2 linked regions of the Arabidopsis thaliana genome follow. The protein of the gene in region 2 interacts with the protein of the main gene of each other region in a pairwise test. Each region holds a gene or a part of one and is shown on either strand. Other genes may lie near its edges.

Region 1 (8,312 bases), on a different chromosome or scaffold from region 2:
TAATATTGTTATCTAATTTTTTTGAATTAATATACTTTTTGCCTTGGTACAGAAAACATTCCATATTTATTCTTAGGAGTAAACAGAATCACAACCCAATATGTATAGAAGTACTGGTCTCTAGATAACTTATATAATTAACCTTCCATTATGTCGATTGTTGAAGTGTTAAAATTCGATAAAAATCAAACTTTCCGTAAACCATATCAAGACATGACGTCTTTAGGATAATGCACCTATATACATTAAAAAAAAATGGCACAGAAATAAGATGTACGTTTATATGTACAACAACCTATTACATCATAAACCATATTTTAGTGGTGAAGCATGGAACAACAAACTTAGTAACTTGGACATTATTTGAGTGTTGTCGAAGACTCGAAGCCATTTATAAAGGTTTTAAATGATTAAAAACAAAAAAAAACGAAAAAAAAAGAGCATCAAGATGTTACATCGTCAGGGAAAAGAACATCAATTTCTAAGTAAACTCGTAAAATTAAGGTTGAAATGCAGACATTGATAATGTAGGATTGGAAATATATTTTTTCAAAAAATAAGCAATTTATAATCATTTCATATATATATGAGAAGCTGAGCAATAAGAAAAAAAGACGTGAGAAAGACCATTAAAATAATCAACTGGATAAAACTATTCAGTTATTAGATGACTGATATGAATAATAAGTTCTTCGTAAATGTGGAGTTCTAATAGTAGAAATTAAGTGAAGTATATGACTTTGTTGCCCAAAAAAATGAAAAAAAAAACTAGTATATATATATGACTTTTATCCTCTTACATTTCGCACCATATAGTGGCTTCAAGTATTTTCCTTTTTCTGAAGTTTTTCCCACCAAGCTAAAACATCATTTTCTGAAGTTACAATATTGAATAAGGTATAATTTGAAGACAACAACGGTCGTATAGCTACTTACACTTGGATATATGCATATATGTTTCTAATAAAACTTAGGCATTCTGTGTTTTCAATTGCTATTATATTTATATGATCAATATGAAGATGTGTTCATTTACTTTTATATATATAAACAATAATATGAAAATGTGGTGTTGTCAAATCTCCTTAACTTAAGCGTGAAAGTAGAAACATAGGCTATCTCTATCCCTAAACCTCAAAGAAGCTCTACATCAACTTGTTACTCATCCCATTAAGCTTGTCGCGATAATTTGTTCGATTCGCTAAGAAATAATATTTGATATAGAACCATTTCTCTTCATTCCTGTAAACGAAAGTGAGATAACCAACTTAAAATTTATGATGTATTTTACAAAAGGCGATTGTAATTGAATTATTAATAAAATCGTTTGAACCGAGATAGTATGTTTAGACTAACGTTTTAATAAACGTTTCAAGCTGTTTAAAAAAAAAATTAGAGGATGATTTTCATAATTCTATTTCAGACTTATTAGTTGAAATTTTGTGACTAATTGAAAAAAAAAATTGGTGACGCTTTATTCAGAAATTTTGTGGCGACATTTGAATTTCTAGTATACCTACACAAATTTGTAAAGTAGCAATCTTTTCTTTTCTTAGAGAATTATTATTTAATTTCGTTGTCGTCCAAACAAGAAAATTCTAGATTCGTTTTTTGTGATCTCGAGAATTTTAGGAAAAAAAAACTTTTTTTTTTGGGGGCAAATGAAAAAAAATAACTAAAATGAAGAATATGAAAAGGAAGAAAAGTCAATATTGAGTATGCCTGTGAAATTAAAAAAGTGGAGACAAACACATAATTTTCCAGACACATTTCCATGAAAGGAAATTGCGCGAATGAATGGTAATCTAAAAGAGCATTGACTCTCTTTGCTATATATAGAAAATGATTCATTATCAACCTAAGAACCACACAAATACCAAAAGAAAAAAAAAGTTGACAACCCATTATACAAAGTAAAAATAAATTTTGTACTTTGAGAATGATGATAATGAGTGACTGAGATTTGTAACCAACAACTTTGGCAATAGATAGATAATATAACACATAATGAAAGCACTCAGGGCATCAATGCCAAACTTTTGTAAGGAAAAAAAAAAAGATTGAAAGACTAACCAAAGATTGAAACTTAAATTTTGATTCTCACTAATAAACAACTTAAAATTGTTATTAAAAGAAACAAACTCAAAATTGGTGATATGATATATGTTGTTGTCTTCTTCATGGGTTATTAGAAAGAAGAACTGAAAGCAACCTTAGAAGAAGCCAGCGAGTCCAACCATTATAGTCATGTGGTCCTCCTGATAATTGCAGGCCTAGAGATAGAGAGAGAGGGAAGAGAGATAAAGAAGAAAGAGCATGGGATGTGGTGGATAATTAGGCGGAGAAGGCGGCATGTATAAATGGAAAGAGTGGATAACAATGGATGACCAAAATAGGAGTTTTTATTTACAATGATAGTGTTTCATCTTTGCACGTAACTCCTAAGTTTGTACTTTACCTACGTGCATGTATATAGATGTGGATTAGTGACTTTTATCTCTTGTTAGTTATTTCTAAAAACATGCATCACATCACTTAACACAGCTGACAAGGTCAACATAACTACCTAATTAATAAACTCTTAACGACCGTTAACCGTATTAACTTCTAACTTCTAATATTGCTTTTAAGCGAAGAGATATTTCTAAAATATGTTTTTTTCACAAAAATACAAGGGAAAATAATGATACAAAAGCTTACAAGATAAGCACGAGAGAGAAAAGAGGTTCTCTTTTTAGCGAAAGCGACTTCTAAGTTATAACATAAGTATGAGAGAGTGTGTGTGTGAGAGAGAGAGTCAAAAGAAAATAAAAGATTGGTCGGTCATGCAATACTGAACAGAGAGGCAAAGCTTTTTTCTTTTCTTCCTAAAATTATTGCAGCCTTCTTTTCTTAGGGCTTCACACAGCCACGTGCATTCCTCCAATTTGAAAATGAAACTTTGTATTTTAACTCTCCTATAGCAAAAAGATTATTTTCTCCATATCATGAAAATCAATGTCTTAGAGCTAGGAAGAAGGATTTTGTGATATGAGACCAAAAATTCCAATCCGAGTTTTGATCTTGTTTTCAAGTTTTGTATCACAAATATGAAAACAAAGAGATGTTTTTTGTTTCTTTACATAAAAAAAAAGAAGAGAAATTCTTTTTTTTTTTTTTGGTAAAAGAAGAGAAGAGAAATTCGTCCAATGCGTTCGTCAGTTTTGCTATTTGAACTCAATTGGATTCCAATAAGTCTACGTAAGAAAAAGGAGCTACCCTTTTTTACTAATAATTTACAGAAGAGGATGTTGCATAACAATCAATTTAGAACAATCATCTATGTCTATACTTAATTTTGAGAAACATCCATGATGGATATAAATTGTTATAACAGTGTTTAAATTTATTTGATATTCTCAATAATATATATATATATATATATATTATAATATAAGAATTCATATTTTATACTTTAAAATACAATTAATAATATTTTACAACAATAAATAAATGTATTTAAACCTAAAAGTTGGCACAAGAAAATGGAATTAAAAAATATTACTGATCTGTATGGTTTTCTTGAGGGATCGCCATGATTGATGATTCAGTTTTTACAACCCATTCAGTTCGATAGATTATCTAATATAAGATTTTTTTGTCAAATATTTTTTTTGATCTAGTATAAGTTTTTTATTTATGAAACAACAAATAAAAGATTTGGACTTAAGAATGGATAGAAGTTTTGGAATAACAATATTTGTGTCCTATGTATAAAAATTATTAGATAGAGATACAAAAATTGTTATCTGAACAAATGCAATATATCAATAGTTAGTGTACATATGAAGTCATAAGAATTACACCAAAATACTCTTTAAAAATATGAAAAAGTTGTTTATAGTGTTTTGAAAAATACCACCAAACAAAACTTTATAATTTTATTTGACCTTAGTTCTTTCTTACGGTGAAATGCAAATCAATATTTTATATATATTTTAATTATATATTCCTTGTTCCTATTTCCTTTAGACATAATCTAAAATCTTCTAACTTTTCTTCTATTAATCCTTTTCCAAATAAAGGCATAACTAATAATAAAATTTATCCTTAATTTTATCTCATATTTATTTCTATTCAACTTTTTATTTTGATCTTCTTAATATGCAAACATACATTTATATGTCTATTTTTGGGTGAAATTAAATCTCATTACCTTTTATTTCTTTCATTTAGTTATACCTTGATCTTTATCTACTAAAAATATTAAAAAATATAATCAATGTGGAAAAATCTATCTAACTAAATTTTAAATGTCATTTCAATAATTTAAATAAAGATCTGTTTATTTAAAGTGAAATGTTAATGTAATTGGTAAATATATGTTCTGTCAAGAAACTGTAATATTAATTATTCTAGCTAAATCCTAAAGTTATAACATATATTCTATAGTAAATACAGTGAAATATTTTATATTGAATTAACTATTTTTAGGCATCTTTTAGTGCATGCTATTAATTTTAAAGATATATACAATCTTTGATTAGTTGAAATATAGCTGTCAACAATTTAATATCTATCAAATAATTATACTGAGTTCTTATCTACATATTAGTAATGAACTATCTCAAAGAAATATAAGAACATAAACAAACACAAGGTCCTAATTATAGAAAAAAATCTTGATAATCAAATAAAACGAACATCTATTATCACATTTTCACAAAAAACAAAAACGAATATATTTTTATCATGCCGAAGCTAGGAATTAAGAAAAATATATAAACAAAATAAATGCTTTTTCAAAGGCTTATATGTTGTTCCTTCCCCCATAATGATCTCTTTGCCTCTCTCTCCATATAGCTCTCCCTCTCTCTCTCTTTTTCTCTCTCTTTCTCTCCATTCTAGTTCATAGCACATAGACTCATTTAAGTACGTCGCCTGTGTTGTCTTTCTCAACCATTAGTCCTTTGCTTCGATAAAGGTATTCTCTCTCTACACATTTAGACACACACATAGATTCTCTAGAACAAAGACATATTGTACTATCTGACTAATCACTATTACTGCTCTTTTTTTTTCTTGATTTTGCAGGCTAAGGAAAAAAAGAAATCTCTCTTTCTAATTTTCTTGTTTTCATTTTGGTTGAGACTTGAGATCAATGTCTTCGTCATTGGAACAGTAACCTTTCTCTTTGATTCAAACTTTCTTTCATTTTCTTCTCTTTTTTCTTGTGTGTCTGAAGAAGATTATAGTACAAGTGTCATTCTCAAAATTTTGTCTTAGGGTTTTTTAATTTTGTTACTTCAAAAACCCCTAAAAAGGCATGAACAACAACATTTTCAGTACTACTACCACCATCAATGACGACTACATGTTATTCCCTTATAATGACCATTATTCCTCACAACCATTGCTCCCTTTTAGCCCTTCTTCTTCCATTAACGACATCTTGATTCACTCCACCTCTAACACATCAAACAATCATCTTGACCATCATCATCAATTCCAACAACCTTCTCCTTTTTCTCACTTCGAATTTGCCCCGGACTGCGCCCTCCTCACCTCTTTCCACCCAGAAAACAATGGCCATGATGATAACCAAACCATCCCAAACGACAATCATCATCCATCACTTCACTTTCCCTTGAACAACACCATTGTAGAACAACCCACTGAGCCCTCGGAAACTATAAACCTTATAGAAGATTCCCAGAGAATCTCAACTTCTCAAGACCCAAAAATGAAAAAAGCCAAGAAACCCAGCAGAACGGACAGGCACAGCAAGATCAAAACGGCCAAAGGGACACGAGATCGTAGGATGAGACTCTCGCTAGATGTCGCCAAAGAGTTGTTTGGCTTACAAGACATGCTTGGATTTGACAAAGCCAGCAAAACCGTTGAATGGTTGCTTACACAAGCAAAACCTGAGATCATAAAGATCGCGACAACCCTTTCTCACCATGGCTGCTTCAGCAGCGGCGATGAGTCTCATATCCGTAAGTATCCATTCTTTTCTAGTTTTAAGTCTATTCAAGTTTTCAACTTCTATGAATTTTTTTATATCATAATCTGAAAATTGTAAATTTCCTAATTAATTAAGGACCGGTGTTAGGATCCATGGACACATCTTCTGATCTATGTGAACTTGCATCCATGTGGACGGTCGACGATAGAGGCAGCAATACTAACACGACCGGTACGACCTTAACCGTTGCCTTTCTGATTTACAATTATATATAGAGTACTTTCTATCAAAATGTTACAAAAGATAAATTATCTTATACATTAGAAACAAGAGGAAACAAGGTCGATGGGAGATCGATGAGAGGGAAGAGAAAGAGGCCAGAACCGCGAACGCCCATTTTAAAGAAGTTGTCCAAGGAGGAGAGAGCGAAAGCTAGAGAAAGAGCAAAGGGTAGAACAATGGAGAAAATGATGATGAAGATGAAAGGAAGATCACAATTAGTGAAAGTTGTGGAAGAAGACGCTCATGATCATGGTGAGATAATAAAGAATAATAATAGAAGCCAAGTGAATCGGAGTTCTTTTGAGATGACACACTGCGAAGACAAGATCGAAGAACTTTGCAAGAACGATCGTTTTGCAGTTTGCAACGAATTTATCATGAATAAGAAAGATCACATTTCAAATGAATCTTATGACTTAGTCAACTACAAACCGAACTCATCATTCCCAGTGATTAACCACCATCGCAGCCAAGGAGCAGCTAATTCCATTGAGGTACCTTATTTATATCTACGAGTCACATTTATAATTTTTATGAGTTTTTTTCCAATGGTTTTATCTAAAGCTATACACAGTTAATTCAAGTTTTAGAGGTAGGGTATATCAAATTCAATGACACTAATGCACCACCATCGATTAATTAATGCTATATATAGTTTAATTAGAAGTTAGTTTTTGTGTTTTGTGGATTGGTACTTGGTTATTACTATCTAGTTCCACATCAGCGATTCAAAGGCGCCGGTTTTTTTTAACTGACTTGGTTATACTATTATGGTTTTTATTGTTCAAATTTTCATCGATTTTTTTTTTTTTGGGGCTATGTACCTTGCAGCAGCATCAGTTTACGGATCTTCATTACTCCTTCGGCGCGAAACCAAGAGACCTCATGCACAACTATCAAAACATGTATTGAAACTGATTTCATTTAACATTAATATCTCAAATTAATGATATATAGTTTGGTGAGAGAGATATGTTAATCCATCTTATGTTTTTTTTTCTTAACATCGTAATTAATCATGTTTATATGAAGGCTTTTTCGTCATTTTAGTGTCAAATATTAAACCTATGTGAAGAAATTAATGCAATTTGTATAATATTTTGTTTTCATAGTTCGAGTGGATTTTTAACTGATATGTATCCTTTAAACGTTGTTTGTTAATATTATCTCTGTGTTGTTAAGTTTGTCTATCGTTTGCTTTTAGGAATACAACAAATGACAAAAACAAAAGGAAACGTGACAAACTGATGACAAAATTATATAAGTTAAGATTCATGATTCAATACATTCTCAATCTATATTCCTTCTGAGACCTGGACGTCAGTTCTAGTAATCAGGCAATTCAAAACCTTTCAAGCCTATTAAGTTAAATGCGATCGACAAACGTATCGGGTATCACTAGGCTTGTGATCTATGTATAAGTGGGTTAACGTACATTGTATACAGACAAGTTCATATATGCGTAATTTGTGTAATATATTACGTGGAAACTTTATCATTTTCAAATATATTTTTTATAACTGATGTGAAGCTATTTGCTTTTTCCCTTAACCAATGATAAGTTCTGCTCTAATAAATCGAAATGTCTTGGGAGTAGTAAGTTACTTCTCTATTGTGATAAGTTTGAGTTACTTAATTTGGAGAGTTTGGTTTACTCAGTTTGGTATATCATGTTCCCTAACTAGAGTTTCCATGATAAATATTAATTATTATAAACAAATTAAAATTATATACAGTACTTCTAGATAGATCCTACAAGGGGTTAAAAGTTATGAAACCTGATGATATGTTGCACTAATTAAGCTGTTGGTCTTTGTAGTTTGTATTCCACATTTATGCTATAATAGGTTGCTATCAAACCTTGGGTGGTCGTTGTTGTTGTAGACCGGCGTGGGAAAATGTCAAATCATCCAAAATTACACAACTGTGAGCTTCAGACCACACATGCCGGTATATTCTACCCTTGAAATATACATAAATATATGTGTACATATATATATATATATATATATATATATTATGTTAAAGTTAATTTGCATAAAGAGAAATTTAAAAAGGTTTTGTGAATATAAGACATTAATTT
Region 2 (8,312 bases):
TCCTTTTGAAGCAAGAGTGTGGCGCTTCGAAAAGTATTGGAGCCGTATACAAGCTTGGCCACAAGAGGGGAAGATATGTTGTAAGGAATATTTGCAACCACGAGATCAAAGTGAGGAAAATCTGTCTTCAGAACATCTTTTTGAATAATCTATAGAATCCAACCACAAGAGAATAAGTGAAAAAGAGAGAGCGTTAGTGAATGTAGTTCCCTATTATTTCTCTTCGGCATTTTATCGAACAGGTTGTGTGCGCTTAGAAACTAATCCACAAAAACAAATAATTTCGTTCCCTAATCCAATCCTAGCAACAACAATAAGGCCCTTACATGTCCAAACCTAAATGAATTCTCAATTTATCGACGGCATCTCAATGAAGTAGCAGGATTTACCGTAAGTTTATCTGCAAAACCATGGTCAGAAACCCTTTTGCGTAGAATCTCCACCATACGCTTATCTAGCTCGACGGCTACGACATTCTGAGCAGCTTCAAGAAGTTTCATCGTGAGATTTCCAGTGCCAGGTCCGATCTCCAAGACTGTATCAGTCGGCCTGATATCGGAGCTTCGAACAATGGAGTCGAGGATTCTAGTGTTGGTAAGAAGGTGTTGGCCTTTGCTCTTGCACAGAAACAATCCATCGTGTTCCTTCTTCTCCTCGATTCTCACATCCCTCTCGTATCCTCTTCTCCGGCGGTCGTGATCGGGTTTTGTCCGAGCCTGCGAGTGAGAATCTCGTCGGAAAACTAAGGAAGATAAGTACGAACGAGTTGAATTGATTTTGATGAGCGTTTGGTCTTTCAATCGAAGAATCATCACTTTGCTTCAGTCACGAAATATAGCTCGGCGTCGTTATCATCCCACGAAATCGCCGGTGACAGGAATCCAAAGCGGAAACTTCCGAGCGTTTGAAGGAGATCCTTGTGGCCTTGTGGGCCAATTGTTTATATGCTTCTCAAATATTCCTTTAGCCCAAGGCCCAATTATTTTTTATTTCTTCACGACGCTTATCTTAATTCTTAATCATCCAATTGGCGTAGACTTTTACTTATATGTACATCCATAGATTGATTGATTGTAAAATAAAAGAAAAAGAACAAAAAATGATGGATATAGAATTTTGGACCACGCTAGTGGACTACGTACTCAAATGGTAACGTGAGAGCCATGAAGTCGTCTAATTATTTGGAAGAACATAAAGTTTGAAAATTCATATAATCTTGAAAAGAAAGCATGACGTTGCCAAGTTACTATTCTCGTCGGTGTAATTGCTATCTCTTTTCTACATGATCGGACGGTATATATGCTTCCTTTTGTCCCTTCCATCCAAATTTTGATTTATTGTGTAAACATATATATCTTTCAGTTGATTTTTTCATTATCATGACATCTGTCAACACTCTCTACTTTACATTATATCACCTCAGTCACACACCACTCTTTTCTTGATTAATTCCCTATGGTACTCATATGAAAATGTTAAAATTAAGCAAAATAAACACACACAAAAAACAAAATAATGTGTATTATCACATGAAAAAGCGTCACAATTCGATTCAGTTTCTTTTGGTGTTTTTATTTCTCCTATGATGGATACATGTGTTGAAAACTGTATCAGCTTCAGAAGAACATGCTATAAATATAAAGGCTAGCCTTATAATTTAGGGTTTGTAACTTCGGAATTAACAATAATAGAGTAATTAAGAAAATTAGGCGTGAAAAATAGTGGTCCACTTTTTTTACAGCAGCCTCTATACTATAACTTTGATACCACCCTTCGTTTCTAGTGTGGGGGATTTTCAATAACCCATGAGCACCCGATCTATCAACTTAGTTATATCTTGCCATTTTTCAACATACAACAGCAAAACTGTTTTGGTTGAGTTTTGCGAGTTTGTTATGTGATTCACGTTTGTTTTAGTGAAATTTTGGGTTAAAGTAAGTCGAGTGGATTATATAAGTAGATTTTGTCGCATCTAATAACTCAGTTGATATATCAGCTTAGAAAGACTATACGCGTCTCTGCATGTGCATGAGCATGAGCATGAGCATGGCATTTGGAGGAACCATGACTCCACTTCCTTGGGACCCACATGAACCAAATCACTCTCTATGTTTTTTCTTTCTTCCTTTATTCAATGATGCAATCTTCTCTTGAGCAATGAGAAACATATAATCATTAATATACATAAATGTAAAGGGGGCCTTTGAAGGTGAAATGGGATCCATATGGAACACATAGTTTATGAAATCTATTTCTGAAAACGGATATGTAGTATATAAAAAAGTGTACATTTCATTTAAGTTTTACCCAACTTTGCAGCTTCTCAAGAGATTTTGTGGTGAAAGACAGTCTTTGTTTATTATTTTGTGAAGAGATACAGAATACACATAAATTACTATTGAGTAAAGGAGGATGCAAGGGGGAAAAAAGTTGCAAGAATCTCTAAGCTCCGTTATTGGCTCCAAAGAAAAGAAACATAACCCACCAAATCTTTTATGTCCTTTTTCAGTTTCAAAGTTGAAGAGAAAAGGAGAGATTTAAAAGAGTGTAGAAGAGCAATGAATGGGTGAAAGTGAAAAAAACAAATCAGTGCGTGCTTCTTTTGTAGTAAACACTCTTCTCTTTCTGCCTATGTAAGAAAAATATATATTAAGAAGTGATTTTCTCTTTATTGGTAATAATGTGTAATTGTGTACAAGTGATATTTAGAAGCCAACAAACACTATGCTCCAAACTTACTTTTCTTTATTCTCTAGTTTATAAAGTTCTTTCCACATTTCCATGTTTTCTTATTGATAATGGGCATAACATACATTCTAAATCTCCAAAAGATGGTACCGGGGTCAAGTAGAATGGTAGATGACTAGATGCGTTTGAAGTGCAGATATTTGGCAGAAAAGGTAGTGGAAACAATTTCAACGTTTTTAGAAAAATTGCTAGGACATGAAATGGAAGGTTAAATAGTTAAGAAAATGTTAGTAACTTTACCTAAATTTGTATAAATTATGACACTGAAAACTTAAAGAAAAGAAGAACACAGTGCTCGAGAAGATACTTTAAACCTTTTCTTTTGGAAAAAAAAGACTATTCTATTTGTACTAATTTCAAGATTCAAACTCCAAAATAAAAGAAATTTAATAGTTTTGGCTCATGGTGAGTCTTTCATTATGCGAGTTTGTTGCTATTTGCAAAGATAATCGATGTTACCAATACATTTGGAATTTATGGATTTGTAATTTAGTTATATACAAGAATAAAATCCGAGAGAATGTCACTGTCCCTTTTGCCCACTCCCTCTCTTAATTTCTCGGTCCTAAATGATTGCATATATTCATCGAACTCTATCCCCAATTTTCTTCTCCTCTATTTCAGTCACTCATAATTTTTGCATTCAACAAAGTACAAACCCTCACATACATTAAGATTGTCATAACAAGAAAACCATTAAAACATCCAAATTGATTTCTGAAATTTACAGCTTCTAGATCAAATTTAAAGTTGTCTTTTATACTCTATTTCATAGATACACATTAACATTGTTTACAATACGGTGAAGAGGTTGGATAGATGATTTTGCTGATTGTTTATGTCAACAATAACTTTCATCCATTTCATAAATACATGTATTTTTTACAACCTCACTTTCATTAAATGTATTCTCTCTTTTACACAACAGTGGGTATTTCCACTAGGAAATGACTATAGTGCCCCTCTTCTTATTAGTCAACTCTCCATATCCTTTTGGAAAAATCCATGAACTATCTTCAGTTTTTTACTTTGTCTGTAGTTTGATATTCTGAAACAACTGAAATTCGTTAAAATTTGGAATGATTAATTGGTCAATTAAATTAAGATTCATGGGGTATAGGTATACGGGACAATTGATATACATCAGTGTATGTATTGTATACATAATTAAATATTTTAATACTATCAGGTGTTCATTATTAAAGTTTGTATATATAATGATAAAAATAACAGAGTAGTAATTTGCTTCCTTGGAAACATGGATAAGCAACTGTTTTCCAGCTGCGAACTTTAGGCACTTAATTTTAAAGTCACAGGTATACACTACGCAACCAAAGCAAGATTTCGCTAATAATAATTAAAATTGCATCGAATCTAACTAAAGAATCTAAAAATACAAGTATACCCAGTCCCCAACGTTGTGTAGGACGATATATGATTATAAAGTTTTAGTTTAGATATTACATAACTATAGATTTCTCATAAATAAAGAAATCTTCCGTTCATTTCACTAAAATATCGTTCGAACAAATAATACACAGATTAATATCTAAACGTAAATCATATAAACAAATAGTGTAGGATTTAATTATAGTAGCATTTTGGCAAACACAAACAGACAAACAAAGGAAGAGGCAGCGTGTTTTCCGGTAGAGAAAAGACGGAGAGAGTAAAAGCCGAAGTTGTAAACGTGGCAACATATTGACCGCAGGATCTAAAACACGTGATGATCAACGGTAAGATATATCTTGTCCGAGAAGTGTTTTGTGATATTAATTGGTGTAAGGAAAATCTGGAAAACAAACAAAAAAGAAAAGAGAGACAGAGAATTTAATAAGAGAGGAAGAGTATTAAGGTGATGGCGGCGTTGCAGAGCGCGAGACAGAGAAAGAAACCTCTCTGAGATACATCTCTCTCTCTCTCTCTATCCCCTCTTAAATACACTCCATACCGACAAACCAACTTTTTTCTCAGTACTAAAAGAAACCTCTATTCGATTTCTAAACAAACCCTAGATATAGACTACTCTACATTCTTCCATTAAGTTAATCTCTTTCGTCTTCTTCTTCTTCATCCTCTCATAATTAAAGATCTCTATCAAGAGAGAGATCTTTTATTGTCTTCTTCTGTTAAAATCTTTTGATAGATCTTCACTCTCTGAAAGTCAAGATCTTAGTCTAGGCAAGTAAATATGTGGTAAAGCAAAGCCCTTCTTGAAATTGGTCATATATGGCTGGTGGTATCGGAAAATGGCAGGATTTTTCTCGTTAGGACACGGCGGAGGAGGAAACACTCCAGACAACCACAGAACAAACACTAATAATCCTTCTTCATCGGGAACAGAATCTTGGCTTTGGTGCAGAAACCCTAACTCTAACGCTGACGGTGGAGAAGCTGGTCCTTCTTACAAAGGAACCCTTGAGCTATGGCAACACCCAAACAATCAAGAAATCATTTTCCAGCAGCAGCAGCAACAGCAACAAAGGCTGGATCTTTACACTTCCGCTGCGGGTTTAGGTGTTGGACCGAGCAACCGGAGCTTAATTGAAACTTCCGGCGGTGCGTTGATGATGATGAGAAGCGGTAGCGGTAGCGGCGGACCAAGCTGCCAGGATTGTGGGAATCAATCTAAGAAAGACTGCTCTCACATGAGATGTAGGACTTGCTGCAAGAGCCGTGGCCTTGACTGTCCCACTCACGTGAAGAGCACGTGGGTTCCTGCCGCTAAACGCCGAGAACGCCAGCAGCAGCTTTCTACCGGTCAGCAACCGCAGCAACTGGGAGGGAGCGTCCCTAAACGACAGAGAGAGCGTATCCCGGCGAGATCGACTTCCATGGCCTACACTCGTATACCTTCTAACAACACTTCAGGTATTTCATAATATCTCTTTATGGTTATTCACCCCTGAATGAAAATTAAAGTAATGAGCTTTGAATAACTTGAGTTATTAGTTTCAATTGCAGAAACAGAAACCCTATTTTGATCAGCTTTTTTTGTTCTTCTTTTTTCATTTTCAAGAAAAAAAAAAGGTGAACGATTTTCTTCTTCCTATTTTTTTTTTTTAATATGGAAATACTGTAGATCAGTAAGACTGACTCTTGGAATGACAGGAAGAAACTGTTCTCACTGATCTTGATATTTGTGTTTATATCCTGTAATTATTAAGTTTTTGTTTATTTGTTTGTTAATGCTGTAATTATTAATTTGAGTTAAGATAAAAACAAACAAACAAATCATACGTTGAAAATACTCCTACGATTTTTTCTTATAATTAACAATAATTAATTAAATGTTTTCTATCTAGGGTTGGAGGTTGGGAATTTTCCGCCGGAAGTTAGCTCGTCGGCAGTTTTTCGGTGCGTGCGTGTGAGTTCCGTAGATGATGAAGAAGAAGAGTATGCATATAAAACAGCTGTGAGTATAGGCGGTCACGTCTTCAAAGGTGTTCTCTACGATCAAGGCCCGGCCGAGAGAAGCTCCTCGGGCGGTGGATCTCAGCCGTTGAATCTCATAACCGCAGGCCCATCGGCCTCATCATCAAGCCCAAACGTGAGCTGCAACAATGGAGTCGTTGGCTCCACTTCAGATCATTATATCGATCCTGCCTCACTTAATTATCCTACTCCCATTAACACTTTCATGACTGGTACGCACTTCTTCTCCAACTCAAGATCTTGAATTCCACACAGAGAGAGTACAACAAATCATAACTTTTTTTTAGATTCTTACGGTAGAATTAGGGTTTTAAAACATCTTCGGAGGTGAAGATTATAACGTACTAATCTTGGTTTTCAAAAGTAATTAACTAAGGGAGATAATGTTCTATTAAAACAATTGTTACCTGATCTTTTATTATTAAGTTCAAATTTTGTAGGTATAATGTTAATGTAATAGTATACTCCAATTTTCAACTGTTACAAAAGTCAACGACCCTGTCTCTGTGAAAGCTCACATCAAAAGCAAGATTTGCAGCTGGCAGTTTTCAACTGTGATCGTTAAACTCAGCCTTGTTTTATTGTCAGCTTTTCACATTACTCTTTTTTTAGGTTTACTTTAACATTAATTTACCTTTCAAATTACTACTTTAGGTCAATTAATTGCAATTATGATTTGCCTGTAGAAATATTAATGTGAAAAACAAGGTTACAAAATTGAAATTTGGGTGAAGACATGTATTTAGGTGTCTTGTGCTTTTGGTCAACAAATCAGACACACTAGCACAGGTATATCGTTCGTCTACGACTACTATATATCCGGCAATATGCCATACCCTAATCTTAAGTTTTATTCAGTTTGAGCCGTTTTTAAAGTGATGCTCTCATTCCTATGATTGATATAATGTCAGTACACTTACATTTGAAGAGAGACTTACTGCCACATCCGACTCTTTACATTATTTTTTATATATATATATCCTGATAGCCAGTTTCTCCATATTTCTATCTTACATAGTTTTCACATCGTACGTTACGGTGTATTTTTTAGCCACATCTGAAGGGGCTTTACTATACAAATCTCAAATGCAATCCCCAAAATCTGACAAGCAGTGAGACTGTATGTGTATTTTGATTCTTTTGTTACAACGAGTGAGGCTGTAAATTCGGCAGATTATGAGTGAGTGGGGGAACAGAAAAAGGTGTAAAATTGGTATGCATCTTTATTTCTGCAGGTGTTTATGTTTGGACCTAAAAAAACTCTTCTTTCCCAATTCATTTCTTAGGCTCTCTTTTTCATTATTCAATTTACGTCACCTCAAGAAAGCCATGATGATAACGAGATGCAAAAAGAATCGGAAAACGAGCTAACATTATAATAACTCATTAGGATTAAAATTTAATTAAGTGTTGCATGGAGTTGTGAAGACTTGTAAAAAAGATGCACACAAATCATGCATTTTGTGATTTACATTTATATCATTCTATAATTGAATTGGTCCCATTAAACCTTAAACAGCTAATCCCACCTTGCTTATGCTGATTTGTCCCCGATTATTTCCTCCGTACTACTCGCACCATGTCTTCGAAATTTCTCTTTTGGAAAACCTAAGTTGCTTTTTATTTTCTTGGTCAAGCAAGACTCAAGAGTTTGATGTTGTTGCACGTAGAAAGGATCTTGAAGACGGATGTCGGATGGTGATAAAAGCAGCAACTTTAAACTCCGAACGCAAGTGGGGCCTTAGGAAATTTCACTGTGAACCAATAAGAGAGTAACACGTCTGAGGGACAATTTGCAATTCCATCATTGCATTTCAAGGGGACAAAACAGAAGCCTCAGGTCCACAGCATCAAGCTTTCCAAACCGAATTTTTAATTTGAGTGTCGCAGGCTCGCTGCATAAAGAGAAGACGACACTGTAGTCCTCAGTGACCAAATAATGAAGTAGCCCAAAACTAAGCCATGCTGTTGCTGGGTAAAACAAAACTACTAAGCCCTAGAGGTATGGGCCTCTGTTTTTCTCTCTCCATGAGACTCACGAGCAAATCACATAACTAACTTTGGATACATTCGACTCTGTTCCTGATCCACTCTTCTCTCCCCTGTTTGTCTTTCTCCATTATCTCTTC

The links.
Region 1: the proteins of SHI (region 2) and BRC1 interact in a two-hybrid assay, tested with the Arabidopsis thaliana proteins (one large-scale study listed by BioGRID).

The regions. Positions count from the first base shown.
Region 1 is NC_003074.8:6,378,464-6,386,775, forward strand, and holds BRC1 (TCP family transcription factor), read left to right. Parts: upstream 1-4,825; 5' UTR 4,826-4,963; intron 4,964-5,044; exon of another isoform or gene 5,045-5,073; 5' UTR 5,074-5,305; coding exon 5,306-5,978; intron 5,979-6,082; coding exon 6,083-6,178; intron 6,179-6,271; coding exon 6,272-6,807; 3' UTR 6,808-7,060; coding exon of another isoform or gene 7,061-7,141; 3' UTR 7,142-7,352; downstream 7,353-8,312. UniProt on the Arabidopsis thaliana protein: Transcription factor that prevents axillary bud outgrowth and delays early axillary bud development. Indirectly required for the auxin-induced control of apical dominance.
Region 2 is NC_003076.8:26,502,829-26,511,140, reverse strand, and holds SHI (Lateral root primordium (LRP) protein-like protein), read left to right. Parts: upstream 1-4,331; 5' UTR 4,332-4,997; coding exon 4,998-5,619; intron 5,620-6,053; coding exon 6,054-6,395; coding exon of another isoform or gene 6,396-6,427; exon of another isoform or gene 6,428-6,623; coding exon of another isoform or gene 6,624-6,640; exon of another isoform or gene 6,641-7,200; intron 7,201-7,802; exon of another isoform or gene 7,803-7,853; coding exon 7,854-7,885; 3' UTR 7,886-7,987; downstream 7,988-8,312. Other genes in the region: DIM1B (Ribosomal RNA adenine dimethylase family protein), read right to left, coding at 1-149, 390-812; AT5G66340 (uncharacterized protein), read right to left, coding at 7,988-8,099, 8,243-8,312. UniProt on the Arabidopsis thaliana protein: Transcription activator that binds DNA on 5'-ACTCTAC-3' and promotes auxin homeostasis-regulating gene expression (e.g. YUC genes), as well as genes affecting stamen development, cell expansion and timing of flowering.